Anolis sagrei: one gene and its partner. The protein of the gene in region 1 purifies or fractionates together with the protein of each later gene. This does not show direct contact. Links are inferred from orthologs where the notes say so. Each region holds a gene or a part of one and is shown in the gene's direction. Other genes may lie near its edges.

Evidence for each region. The genes of interacting proteins can lie anywhere in the genome.
Region 2: the proteins of ARMC8 (region 1) and MRPL18 purify together in Homo sapiens (affinity purification with mass spectrometry; 3 studies listed by BioGRID and IntAct, with this or other methods). This does not show direct contact. The link is inferred for Anolis sagrei from reciprocal best matches to the Homo sapiens genes ARMC8 and MRPL18.

What each region holds. Positions count from the first base shown.
Region 1 is NC_090023.1:222,117,538-222,124,663, reverse strand, and holds the start of ARMC8 (armadillo repeat-containing protein 8), read left to right. Parts: upstream 1-4,076; 5' UTR 4,077-4,289; coding exon 4,290-4,334; intron 4,335-7,126. UniProt on the Homo sapiens protein: Component of the CTLH E3 ubiquitin-protein ligase complex that selectively accepts ubiquitin from UBE2H and mediates ubiquitination and subsequent proteasomal degradation of the transcription factor HBP1.
Region 2 is NC_090021.1:68,231,196-68,238,371, reverse strand, and holds the start of MRPL18 (large ribosomal subunit protein uL18m), read left to right. Parts: upstream 1-4,077; 5' UTR 4,078-4,299; coding exon 4,300-4,366; intron 4,367-7,176. Other genes in the region: TCP1 (T-complex protein 1 subunit alpha), read right to left, coding at 3,239-3,311. UniProt on the Homo sapiens protein: Together with thiosulfate sulfurtransferase (TST), acts as a mitochondrial import factor for the cytosolic 5S rRNA.

The sequences.
Region 1 (7,126 bases):
GTCACAAGCGTGGCTTGTGGAAACGAAGGAGAGGGCCTTCTCTGTGGTGATCCCTCAGCTTTGGAACTCGCTCCCCAGAGAGATTAGGCAAGCACCCACTCTGGCAGCTTTTAGGAAAAGCTTAAAAACTTGGCTTTTCTGGTGCACTTTTGAAGAACGAGTAACTAATTCCCATGTCAAGTCCTGTCTCAGTGTCAATTGTCTTTCTGATGCACTTTGTCTCATTCCTCAGTTGAGAATAACCTCATTGTTTATCCCAGACGGGTCTCTCATTTAATACAGCACTTTATCTATCTCACCCACGGGTTTTACAATTTTTACTTCTCGCACTTGGCCCGGCTTGCCCTCATTTAAATTCTTGTACTGTTTTTATATTCTGTTTTATTATGCTATTGTTACTACTTTATTGGCTTATTATGTTATTGTATAAGCACATTTATTTGATGTTATTGTGTGTCTTGTATGTATTTTATTTTGCTTTATTGTAATTGCTTGGGCTTGGCCCCATGTCAGCTGCCCCGAGTTCCTTTGGGGAGATAAAGGCAGGGTACAAATAAAGTTATTATTATTATTGTTATTAATAATAATGATTACAGTGAATGGGAATTGGGATATATCTGAAAGGCTGTAGTTTGTTCTGTTTAGTCAGGAGAGTTTAAATTGAGATCCAGGGCTTGTGGATATGGGTTACAACTACCATTATCCCCAGTCTTCATAGCAGATAATCAAAAGTGATGCGAGTTGTTGTTCAGTAACACTTGGAGACCCAAATTGGGTAAAAACTAAGCAGCACTGACCACTATATGAAAAAAATATAGTTGGCCCTCTGTATCCATGGATTCTCCATCCATGGATTCCACAGCATGAAGGCAACCCTCAAGCTGATGTGGTCCTCAATGAAAATAAGGCCCCTTCTGCACTGCCATATAAAATCTGGATTATCTTCATGAACTGGATTATATGGCAGTGTAGACTCATGGCCCCTTCCACAGAGTGGAATAAAACCCATTATCTGCTTTGAACTGGAAGCAGTGTGGACTCAGATAACTCTGTTAAAAGCAGGTATTGTGGGATTTTCTGCCCTGATATTCTGCATTATATGGCTGTGTGGAAGGACCCTGGGTTATCTGAGTCCACACTGCCATAGATTCTAGTTCAATGCAGATAATGTGGGGTTTTATTCAGCTTTGTGGAAGGGGCCTGGTGTTTGAGAGGTTTGGGGGTGTAGGGCCTGATGGTTCTGTGGTGCCCAGACAGAGGGCGTGTTGGAGCAAGATGGTTCTCCAGTTGGGAGAACGGAGGGGGTTTTGGAGCAAGATGTTGTTTCTGAGTCTGGGAATTAATCTACTTTGGAAGCTGACAGGCAGGGAAGGAAGGATAACATGAGCTCATCCGAAGAAGCAGTTGGCTTAGACAGAGATACCAGGCTGCTCCTGCAGGGGAATAAATTTAGGTGCAAGCGAAGCCATGGGAAGGAGAGGCAGAAGCAGGCCTCTCAAGGTCAAAGGAATGCATTCATATTTTGCAGCCTTTAAATGAGAGAGAGAGAGAGAGAGAGAGAGAGCTGTTAGGATTCCAGATCAAGCAACATCGCTACTGGAGTGGGAAACTCCTGTTTTGTTCCTGGTTCATGCTCTGTAAGCTCAAGGCACAAGATTCCTAGTCAAGTTTTGCTTCTTGTTTTAAGGATTTACGTACTGATTCATGCTCTTGTTTTGTTCCTTGTTCTAATGTTCAAGTTGTAACTCTTGTTTTTGGATTTACCTATTGCCTATGGGACTTGCCTTCTATAGTAACAATGGGATTTTTACCCTATTGGCCCTTTCTTATATGTGTTTTATCAATAGTCTCTTTACTCCCACGTCTGCTTTCCTGGTGAGTGCTATGAGCAAGGTGAACCCCTACTGAGGTGCCACACCTGGGTCCACACTGTCAAATAATGCAGTCAATGTGGATTTTATGCAGCTGTGTGGAATAATAATAATAATTTTATTTTTATACCCTGCCTCCATCTCCCCAAAAGGACTCAGGGCAGCTTCAAAGGGACAAGCTCAAAGAGAACAAAGTTAAAACATAACACAATAAGATAAAATCAAAACAAAACAAAATAAGAACAGTGGATTGTAGCAGGTTTTTTGGGCTATATGGCCATGTTCTAGTGTTAGAGACCCTAAATCGGGTCTAATACTTAGGTCCAGGTCACAGGAGCACGTAAGGAAGAAGGCAGTCCCAGGAGAATATCAAAAACAACATTTTATTTTCATAATGGCCACGAGGAAGTCGGACAGCCGTGTTAAGTGCGTGCAGGCACCAACACTTGCAAGTGACTGCCGTACCACTCTTCGGCTTCTTCAAACTTTTATACAACAAGGTAAACAAAGATATTTTGGTCATGGAACGTACTTTTACTCTTTCCAGTCCCCCTCCCATTAACCTTTTGATGAACTGTGCCTTCTTGCACCTGGCCTGAATGTCTGGTTGTCAAAACAACAATTTGTTCTCTTTATGCAGATTTTGCGCTTCACCACAAACCCATTTCCTATGTAAGCTGAGTAGGTTAGCAACTTAATATTTTAGCCACTTAACTCAAGCATAAGCATGTACCATATATGTCACCTCACTCAGGGGGGTTGCAAAACTTCTTCTCTTTTAAGAACATCCTCCCTCTTGCTGACATGTTGCTCTTTCCCTGCAGGGAGATATATCTTTCTTATGTTTTGTTGCCAAAGCTTAGTTATTGCAAAAATCACTCATTGTCTCCTTCACTAGAAGCAATCTCTCCTGACAGTTCACCTGCATTGATGGCAGGCATCCTCAGAGCTTATGAGGTCTGTTGGAAACTGGGAAAATTGGGTTTATATGTCTGTGGGATATCCAGGGTGGGAGAACATCTATATCAGTGGTTCTCAACCTGGGGTCCCCAGATGTTTTTGGCATTCAACTCCCAGAAATTCTAACAGCTGGTAAACAGGCTGGGATTTCTGGGAGTTGTAGGCCAAAAACATCTGGGGACCCCAGGTTGAGAACCACTGATCTATATAAATAAAAATGTAATGTTTGTTTGTAGGATTAACATAACGCAGAAATCACTGGACAAATTGACACCAAATTTGGACACAATACACCTATCAGGCCAACAAGTGACCATCACTCATAAAAACACTGAAAAACATAGCAGAAGAAACTTAAAAAGTCAACCCCCCCAAAAAATACATTACAACGCATGCGCAAAACCACATATATCCACAAACACAATATATAAACATATACACAAATATATTTATTTATTTATTTACTTTATTTGTATACCACTCTTCTCAGCCATTAGGCGACTCAGAGCAGTTAACAACAAGCAGCGGCAAAAATTCAATGCAAACATCATACAGCCATTTAAAAAACAATTAACGCAATAATACACTAAGCAATTAACATCAATAACCATCAATAACCATCAATAAACAACTCACTAGCGTCTCATAACTAAAATCATAATCCAAGCTCGTCATCCGTTGTTCCGATTTCCTATAATTCATTGTAATTCATTGCACTGCCTATTCAAACGCCTGTTCAAATAACCAGGTTTTCACTTTTTTCCGAAATGCCATTAATGAGGGAGCCGATCTGATGTCTGTGGGTATACACACATATATGCATATACACACACACAAAACACATATACACAGACTGGACCACAGGAACGCGTTGCAGGGGACAGCTAGTATCACAATAAAACATAACATCAGAAAAACAATACCATGCTGAGTAATAACAATGATGAGTTAAGAGGGCTCTGAGTGTGTGCAAGGGGCCTTGGAAGTTAAAAGTAGACTTTTCCAGTGTTACTTCCCAGCTCGCCAGTAGGTGGCGCAACAGGACCACACATACGCCCTAGCCTGCCTTCACTCCCCTCCTTCACTACCAAGGACGGCATTGGACAGGTGCCGCCTCTTCTGCGCATGCGCCTGGGGCGGGACGTCAACTAAGCACCGTTGGGCGCAACGCCCCGCGATCTAAAAGTAGAGCAGGCGCGTCACTCTCATGCCACTTCCGGCAATCACCCCGCCTTCCCACCAATAGCGGCTGAGGGCGCATGCGCACTGCCTCGCGAGCGGCGAAAGCTGTTTTTCCTCGTTCGCTGATTCGAGACGGAGGAGAGCCTTCCTTCCCTCCTTTTCCCCCCTCCTCCCTCTTCTCCTCTTGCCGGCGATGTGGTCGCGCGCGGCGTCGGTCGTGACCCCGGGGTCCCTCGCGCGAGGTTGAGCGCCGGGCCGCGAGTGGGGCGCGCCAAGATGGCGTGTGTGCTGGAGGCGCCGCTCCGCATGAGCGTCCTGTCGGTGAGTCAGTCCCCGGCGGGAAGGAAGGAGGGAAGCGGGGCCGGGTAGGGCGGCCTCAGTTGTGGCTCTGAGCGCCTCAGAAGGAGGCTGAGCTGCCCCTGGCCGGCTCCCTCTCTCCCTCCTTTCTCCCAGCGCCTGTCATTCGCTCCCAGAGAGGCTCCCGCCTTCAGTAGTAAGCAGTGCACTCTAGGGCAGGCATGGGCAGACTTCGGCCCTCCCTCCAGGCGTTTTGGACTTCAGCTCCCACCATTCCTAACAGCCTCAGGCCCCTTCCTTTCCCCCCTCAGCCGCTTAAGCCATGCTCCAAGTTTAATCTATATAAATAAAAATGTAATGCTCATTTGTGAGATTAACATAACTCAACCATTGGGCGAATTGACACCAAATTTGGATACGATACACGTATCAGGCCAACAAGTGACCATCACTTATTAAAAACACTGGAAAACACAGTGGAAAAAACTTAAAAAGCCAAAAACAAACAAACAAACATTACAGCACATGTGCATAACCACATTTATACACCTATACGGAAATACATGCACACATATATACACATACAAGACGCATATACACAGACTCGGCCACAGGAATGCATGGCAGGGGATGGCTAGTCTCTTATATATGTATTTCTTGAGCCATGAGAGGTGGGTGACTAATAATCATCGTTATTATCATCAACATCCTCAGTAGGAATAGTTTATATGAACCTATGCATGGAAATACTCCCCACAGCTCCTGCCCACCTTTTTTGCATGATTTATGTAGATATGTGCGTGTGTTTCTGTATATCACCATGTTCAGCTGTCACAGGGCATTGTGGCAGCAGCCTTACTCTTACTGACCCTTACTTCTTGGTGTGTCCATATACACACCAATGTGTATGAGAGAAGATTTTTTGTTTTGTTTTTAGGCGCATTATCTAGCTTTGTATGTGTTTCAGACAGATTATTTTTATTTGTCTAAAAAAAGAAAAAGCAAACTTTGTAATGTGAACATTTATACTGTAATTTACTTTTAAAATTCAAACTAAAGCTGTCTTTTTCCTGAAACCATCATATCTGTAAGAATAATTATATGAAACCATGCTTGCCCTGTCTTCCTCACAGCTCCTTCCTTTTTGAGTGAATTCTGTCGAAAAGAATGTATGCTTCTCTTTGTAACTTGTGTTCAGCTATCACAGGGAATAGTATCATAGAGTTGGAAGAGACCACAAGGGCCACTCAGTTCAACCCCTTTTTGCCATGCAGGAACATACAATCAAAGCACTCCTGACAGATGGCCATCCAATCTCTGCTTAAAACTTCCCAAAGAAGGAGACTCTGCCAAACTCTGAGACAGCATATTATATGGTTGAAAAGCAGTTACTGGTACTGTCAGAAAGTACCCTTCCATTATATGTCTATCATGCACATTAGACCCCTATTTCCTACAGCTCCTTTGTTTTGGAGTAATTTGTTTGTGTGTTTCTGTGTTTAACATGTGTTCAGCTGTCACAAAGAATGGTGCCCGTAACTCTTCATTTCATTGATCTGGTGGTCTTAGTGAGATAAGATTTTTTTTTGTTTTTCAGCACACTATCTAGCTTTATATATACATTTTAGGATTGCTCATTTTTTATTTCTTTCTCTAGAAAGTAGAAATGCAAACTTGGTAACTTTCTGAATGGGAATAAATTGTGTGTGGTAATTGTGGACGGTTCAGACTAGAGCTTTCCAAACATTAAATGTTGGTGTCACATTTAAGACTTGCATCTTTTTTGTGACACAGTTATTAAGTTTTACTAGCAAACCATAGGTTAAACTAACCCTTACAAGAGATATGGGCACTACATAAATTCTAATGATGAAATGTATATGGACACAGCGTATCTCATTTATATTTTCAATTTTTTTGATTTACTGCTTATTTCACATTGACTTGCGGTTTCTCATTACTTCTGTGTGACACATCTACACTGCAACTAACACACAGTTTGGAAAGCTCTGGTTTAGAATAAGAGAGAATCATAGCATTTGAAAAAAACACAAAGGACAGCCGTATCAACTCCCTGCCATGAAGGAACACACAACCAAAGCACCCTGAAAGATGACTATCCAGCCTCTGCTTAAAAACCTCCAGAGAAGGAGACTCTACTACACCCCCAGGCACCATATTCCACTGCTGAACAACTTTCTAATATTTAGGTGGAATCTCTTTTCCTGCAGTTTGAATGGTGGCAGTAATCCATCATTTTGTTGACCCTGGTTTTGATGAAGATAATTTTTAATTTTTCAGCAAACTGTCCAGCTGTGTTTGAGTTTTTAGACAGTATTTTACTTTTTTAAAAATTCTTTACAAAATGGAAAGCAAATTTTGTAACATGTCTTCATTTTCTTCATGGGGTTAAATATAAACTATGAGGCATAGTTAATTACACACATTTTTATGTTTAATACCTTAAAAGTAATTAAAAAGTATCTGCAGTATAATGGAAGTGACTAGATACCAGTCTTTTGTTTTTGACAATTGGGCGGGAAACAAGTACAAGCCCTGCACTGCAATTCTCTTTTCTAGCTTTAGCCAGATAATGCAATGCTTTCCAGTATGATCTCTCTGTATCATATATATGTATATTAGGTTGTATGCCTTTATGAGGCCATATTTGTTTTGTATAGTGCCATGAATATTAACAGTGCCATATAAATAATAATCTTAATAGTGCAATCCTGCCTTGGACCTGATGGCCCTTAGATCTCCTTCTCACTCTATGATTCTGTCCATGCATTCTTATTCCCAAGTAGGTCCATTAA
Region 2 (7,176 bases), on another chromosome or scaffold:
CAGTGACATTATTTATTCACACAATCTATTCCCACTTCATCATTGAATGGATCCTAAAAGTAGATCTTAAATTTATTGCCATTTATTTGTATAAACATGCATATGTTGCACTGTTCCTTATATAGTGGATCTTTGACATGATTTCTACAAATAATACAACAGGGAACAACATCATTTTGTCTGGACAATAAAATCTATCATTTGCTTTGTGATGCCATGTTTAGCCATTTCATATAGGAGAAAGACAATATCAATCTTCTCCTTCAGACAATGGCTAGTGTTTCTTTATCCCATAAGCAAAGACTCTTATTTTATTGTAGAAATAAGAGGCAGTACAATGGGAAGTATCAATCTGAATCACTGAGCACATTCTAAATAGTCTTACAACTGAATTTAAGGCAGAAACGGGGAACTGGAGTTTTCACTTTTCAGTTCCCAAGCAGCAAAGCAAAAGATGATAAATGCAGTGAATGATAGACCAACAACAAACAGAAGGCTTCATGGCTCTAGTTTTTTATTTGGGAGTGATAACTGCATTTAACAATTCAACAAATTTACATGGCATTTACATTAACTAATCTGTGAGGGTTTTTTCCTCTCTCAAACTTTTACATATGCCATTATTAATTCAATGTACTGTATATAAAAAGTGTAAGAAGTGTAACTTTCACAAAAAGGACTGATTCTGGCGTTTTCCTGACTAAGGGTTACTGCCACTTTAACTTAACTTGTTGAGTAAAAACAAACAATAAAAAATATTTCCACCAATGACAGTTTATGGTCATTCATGATTGTGATCAATGCCTTACAGACCTTAGACAGTATTACTCCAGTGTGTTCAGTGTAAAATAACATACAATCAAATGTATGTGGTTAATATTTGCCACCAGTTCAACCATCCACAAATGAAATTGCATTTTGGTAAGATGTATTATTTTGATAAACTTTGAAATAATACTGTTATATAAAAATAGATTGTCAAGAAAATGTAATATTTGAAAATTATATATTTAGAATCTGAGTTCAGAACTTATATTTTTAACAATTTTTAATTTTATTTCTTGAAAGAATAAAGTCTACAGATATACCATGCTTCAAACTGCTTTGTAACTCATTGATAATGTACGGGATACTCATAAATTAACAACATAGTTATACTTGGTACACCAATGCTATTTATTGAAAGAAGTAAGCTTCCAAACTGCAAGTGCCATAAAAGGAAGCAATTGGGGCTCCACTGTGCTAGCCATTCAGCTACCAACTTATGAGTATCATGCCCCTCCCCACTATAGTTCTCTCCTCATGGCACACTTTCTCTTGTCTTTAATGAAGACTCAATTCCATTGTCCGCCCCTCCTGATCTCTTCCAGACACATACTTTTTCATTTATTTATCTCACCCAGGGTTTTATCAATCCTACTCTGTGCATTTGGCTTGCCCACCGTGCTTTTATGTTATTTCTTCATCATGTTATTTTGCATATGTTTGTATCACTCCCTGTTGTTTTATGTATTTTATTTTGATGTTATTATTTGCTGTTTGTACTTCATTTTATTTTGTTGTACTGTAATTCTGGGCTTGGCCTCATGCTAGCTGCCCCAAGTCCCCTTTGGGGAGATGGTGGTGGAGTATAAATAAAATTTTCTATTATTATTTTCCAGAAGTTTTGAAGCAGAAGCTGGGTGGTCGTCTGTCGGGGGTGCTTTGATTGTGCTTTCCCGCAGGGCGAAATGGGTTTGGATTGGATTGTCGAAGGCTTTCATGGCCAGAATCACTGGGTTGTTGTAGGTTTTTATCGGTCTACATGGCCATGTTCTAGAGCAGGGGTCCTCAAACTAAGGCCCGGGGGCCGGATACGGACCTCCAAGTTTATTTACCCAGCCCTCACTCAAGGTCAACCTAAGTCTGAAATGACTTAAAAGCACACAACAACAACAACAACAACAACCCTATCTCATCAGCCAAAAGCAGGCCTATACTACTCATTGAAATACTTATATTTCTTTAAATTGTTCTTCATTGTAATTATTGTATTCCTTTTAAGTGTTTGTGCACTACAAATAAGATATGTGCAGTGTGAATAGGAATTCATTCGGTTATTTTTCCCCCAAATTATAATCCAGCCCTCTAACAGTTTGAGGGACTCTCACCTGGCCCTCTGTTTAAAAAGTTTGAGGACTCCTGTTCTAGAGGCATTCTCTCCTGACGTTTCGCCTGCATCTATGGCAAGCATCTTCAGAGGTAGTGAGGTCTGTTGGAACTAGGAAAAAGGGTTTATATATCTGTGGAATGACCAGGGTGGGACAAAGAACTCTTGTCTGCTGCAGCTAGTTGTGAATGTTTCAACTGACCACCTTGAAATACACAAGCATGTGGACAATTTCAACAGAAAGGAGGAAACCATGAAAATGAACAAAATCTGGCTACCAGTATTAAAAAAAACCTCTAAAATTGCAACAGCACAACAACAGAGAGGAAGCAGGCAGGGACATCTAATCACCTCTCAACAAAAGTTTGCTCCAGGCACTGTCAGACCATTATATGCTAATCAAGGTGGTCAGTTGAAACATTCACACCTAGTTCCAACAGACAAGAGTCCTTTGCCCCACCCTGGTCATTCCACAGATATATAAACCCATTTTCCTAGTTCCAACAGACCTCACTACCTCTGAGGATGCTTGCCATAGATGCAGGCGAAACGTCAGGAGAGAATGCCTCTAGAACATGACCATATAGCCCGAAAAAACCTACAACAACCTTGGATTGGATTGCCTTTCAAATTCTAACGTTCCATTTCTTGTTTGTTGTGGATACTTGAGTCCCGTTATATATAACGGAATAGTAAAATGGTGTTTCCTAAATTAAATGCTTTAAAAATTGTTTTAATATTTTAGAGGCATGGAAACGAAGGTTGACCCCAAATATATGAGTAAGAATAACAATATTATTGTTTATTCATTAGCCGTCTCTTCTTAGGGCTCGAGGCGGGTCCTCGCAGTTAAAATACGGCCACATGAAAACAAATATAAACATATTAATATAAATGAAGCAAAAGTGAAAACACAACACGCCTTGAACGTGGTCTTAAAATTCGAACTGGCAGGAGAGGCCTGCGAAAAGAGAGGGGCCTTCAGTTGAGGTATACAACACGCAGAGCTGTACTGCCAGTGTACAACGAAATGCAGGAAGAGAGGAGAGGGAGGGCGAGAGCGGCCTTCCTGCCTTCTTTCCCGCTTACCGTTCTGCGTGCGGACGTTCTCGCCGGTGCTCCGCTCGCCCAAGACCGCCAACGGGCCATCCAGCGCCGCCATCTTCCCGAACAAAAAGAAGCCCGGCCGACAGCAACGTGCGGAGAAGGAGGAAGGAAGGAAGGAAGGGGCCCGCAGCCAGGCGCGAAAGGGCTTCTGGGTACCACGCCTCTCAAGATGGCGACTCAAAGATGCGATGCCGACGATTGGAAGAGCCTCAAAAGAATATTAACCAATCCAAACGCCTGTGACAAACGTAATAGGCCGACTGCTTCTGAGCTGCTGATGGTCATTGGTTGTTGGGCAAGGCAGGGCTCCTTCCGTCTACTGTTACATAGCAACAAGCGATATGGGCGTGGCTGTTGCGTTTGTTCTGGAACGTTCTAGAAAAAACGCTGTTTTCACAAGCCTAATCTGCCAATAGGTACTAATGGCGCTCCAGACTACAACTCCCATGATGCCATCTGCACTGACGTTTGTCTGTCTAAAACAGGCCTGGGGCCCTGCAGGAGTTTTGGACTTCAACTCCCACAATTCCTAGCAGCTTCAGGCCCTTTCCTTTTCCCCCTCAGCCGCTTAAGCGGCTGAGGGGGAAAAGGAAGGGGCCTAAAGCTGCTAGGAATTGTGGGAGTTGAAGTCCAAAACTCCTGCAGGGCCGAGATTTGCCTACTCCTGATTTGAAAGGTTCCATTCCGACCCTTCGGAATGCCCTTGTCTCATAGGACCATCATAGAGAAAAGGAGGCGGGACTAGTTGCCCGGAGCCAATCGCAAGCAAGGTTATAAGCATCCATCATTTGTAGGCGCCATTTTTTAAAAGGGCGAAGTCTTTTTTCCCCTACGGCTTCAGTAGATTTCCTAGTTTGTGGACTCCATCTCCCAGAATTCCTGATCGCTGCCGACAGTGTCTAGGACTTTCGGGAGTTGAAGTCCAACCCCTGGGCCACTGCTTGTATCCAACGGAGACATCGAGCTGCGAGTGGGAAGCAGGCCTTTCCCTGAGTCAAGATGGCGCTCTCTCCGGTTTCCTAGCTATCCTGCCAGGCGGCGTGATGGCTCTGCGGAAAGCGACGTTGCTGGCGAGGATCACGGCCAGGGGACTGCGGGAAGCAGCGCCAGGTACACAGCCCACGGGGTTTGGATTAGAAACGGGGCAGTTTAGTAGGAAAAACTCCTTCTTGGAAGCCACGATCGCATATACAAAAGAAGTCCCAACACCCACTAGCCAAGGCATGGACAAACTGAAGCTGCAGGGTGCAGGTTCCCTCTAAGGCAGGCATGGGACAACTTCGGCCCTCCGGGTGTTTTGGACTTCAACTCCCACAATTCCTAGCAGTCGGTATGAAATTCAGTGCTGCATCAGTTGGAGGTCCTCTGCAGCAACCCCTGAAAATCTGCCCAGGACAGTTCTGCAGACTTCTCGAGCTGATCTTGAGGATATGAATAGGGCAGGAGTCGGGGCAATTCCTCAGTCCAGTTTGAGGCTGAACCCTCACACTGAACCCTCTGCTTTCTTTTTATGAAAGTCTGATGATGATGATGATAATAATAATAATAATAATCTATATAAATAAAAATGTAATGTTCGTTTGTGGGATTAACAGAACTCAAACACCAGTGAGCCAATGGACACCAAATTTGGACAGCATACACCTAACAACCCAATGTATGTCCTTCACTCAAAATTTTTTGATTTTGCCATTTGGGAGTTGTAGTTGCTGGGATTTATAGTTCACCTACAATCAAAGAGCATTCTGAACTCCACCAATGATGGAATTGAACCAAACGTGGCACACAGAACTCCCATGACCAACAGAAAACGCTAAAAGGGTTTGGTGCGCATTGAGCTTGAGTTTGGGAGTTGTTGTTCACCTACATCCAGAGAGCACTGTGGACTCAAACAATGATGGATCTGGACTAAACTTGGCACAAATATTCCATATGCCCAAATATGAACACAATTTGGGGGATATAGACACTGACATTTGGGAGTTGTAGTTACTGGGATTTATAGTTCACCTACAATCAAAGAGCATTCTGAATCTCACAAACAACAGAATTGGGGCAAACTTCCCACACAGAACCCCCATGACAACAACAAAAAAACCTCTGGAAGGGCATGGACCTTATGTTTTGGAGTTTTAGTTCACCAACAGAAAATACTTAAGCCCATCCAGTCCAACTCCCTTCACCAGGGCAAGAAAACATAATCAGAGCCCTCCTGACACTTTCTCATTACTTTATTTTCCAGATCACCAGACTGGGCCACAGCAACGCTTACATGAGGCCAAGCCCAGCAATATAGTAAAACAATATACAACAGAACACAGCAAAAATAAAATACAATACAAACCCATTTTAAACACGTCAACAATATTAAATCACAGCATTTAAACACACAGAAATTGATCACATTGGGCGGGCCGGTTTCAATAGATTAAACATTTAAAACACTGGTGAAACAGCAGTGTTTCACCAGTGTTTCACCAGGGAATCCAAGAGGTAGAGTAGGGTGTAATTGCACTAGCAGGTAAAATAAATGCTACCAAGGGCCTTTTTACAGAGGTAGATCATGTCAGGGTATTATCGTTCTGCAGACATCACAGTTCTTGTTCTAAGGAATGTGAATACAGTATTAGGTAGAAACTCAGGGAGCCATAAAGAGTCCCCCCCCCCCCCCCGGTGATATTTTCTTCTATATAAATAAAAATGTAATGTTCATTTGTGGGATTAACATAACTCAAAAACCACTAGACGAATTGACACCAAATTTGGACACAATACACCCATCAGGCCGACGAGTGACCATCACTCATAAAAATACTGAAAAACACAGCAAAAGAGACTACAAAAGCCAAAAAACAAAAAATACATTACAACACATGCGCAAAACCACATATATATATGCAGACACACATATATACAGACAGAAAACACGTATATGTCCAGACATATACACACACACAACACATTTTACACAGACTGGGCCACAGCAAAGCGTGGCAGGGGACGGCTAGTATATAAATAAAAATGTAATGTTCATTTGTGGGTTTAACATAACTCAAAAACCACTGGACGAATTTACACCAAATTTGGACACAATACACCTATTAGGCCAACAAGTGACCATCACCCATAAAAACACTGAAAAACACAGCAGAAGAGACTTAAAAAGCCAAAGAAACAAAAATTACATTACAACACATGCGCAAAACCACATATGCACATATTTATTTATTTATTTATTTCATATATTCTCCCCACAAGGGGGACTCAGCGCGGCCTCACATGAGCATCAGAGGATGCTAACAACATAAATACCCTAAAAACTACAACTCACAATAAAATCATTTTAAAACGTACATCAGTAAAATTTAACAATAAATTAATAGATTAATGTGCCAGTAAAACCAAGCCATATACTCAATAAATTAATAGATTAATGTGCCAGTAAAACCAAAAACATATGCACAAATATGTCCAGACATATACACACACACAACACATTTTACACAGACTGGGCCACAGCAAAGCGTGGCAGGGGACGGCTAGTATATAAATAAAAATGTAATGTTCATTTGTGGGTTTAACATAACTCAAAAACCACTGGACGAATTTACACCAAATTTGGACACAATACACCTATTAGGCCAACAAGTGACCATCACCCATAAAAACACTGAAAAACACAGCAGAAGAGACTTAAAAAGCCAAAGAAACAAAAATTACATTACAACACATGCGCAAAACCACATATGCACATATTTATTTATTTATTTATTTCATATATTCTCCCCACAAGGGGGACTCAGCGCGGCCTCACATGAGCATCAGAGGATGCTAACAACATAAATACCCTAAAAACTACAACTCACAATAAAATCATTTTAAAACGTACATCAGTAAAATTTAACAATAAATTAATAGAT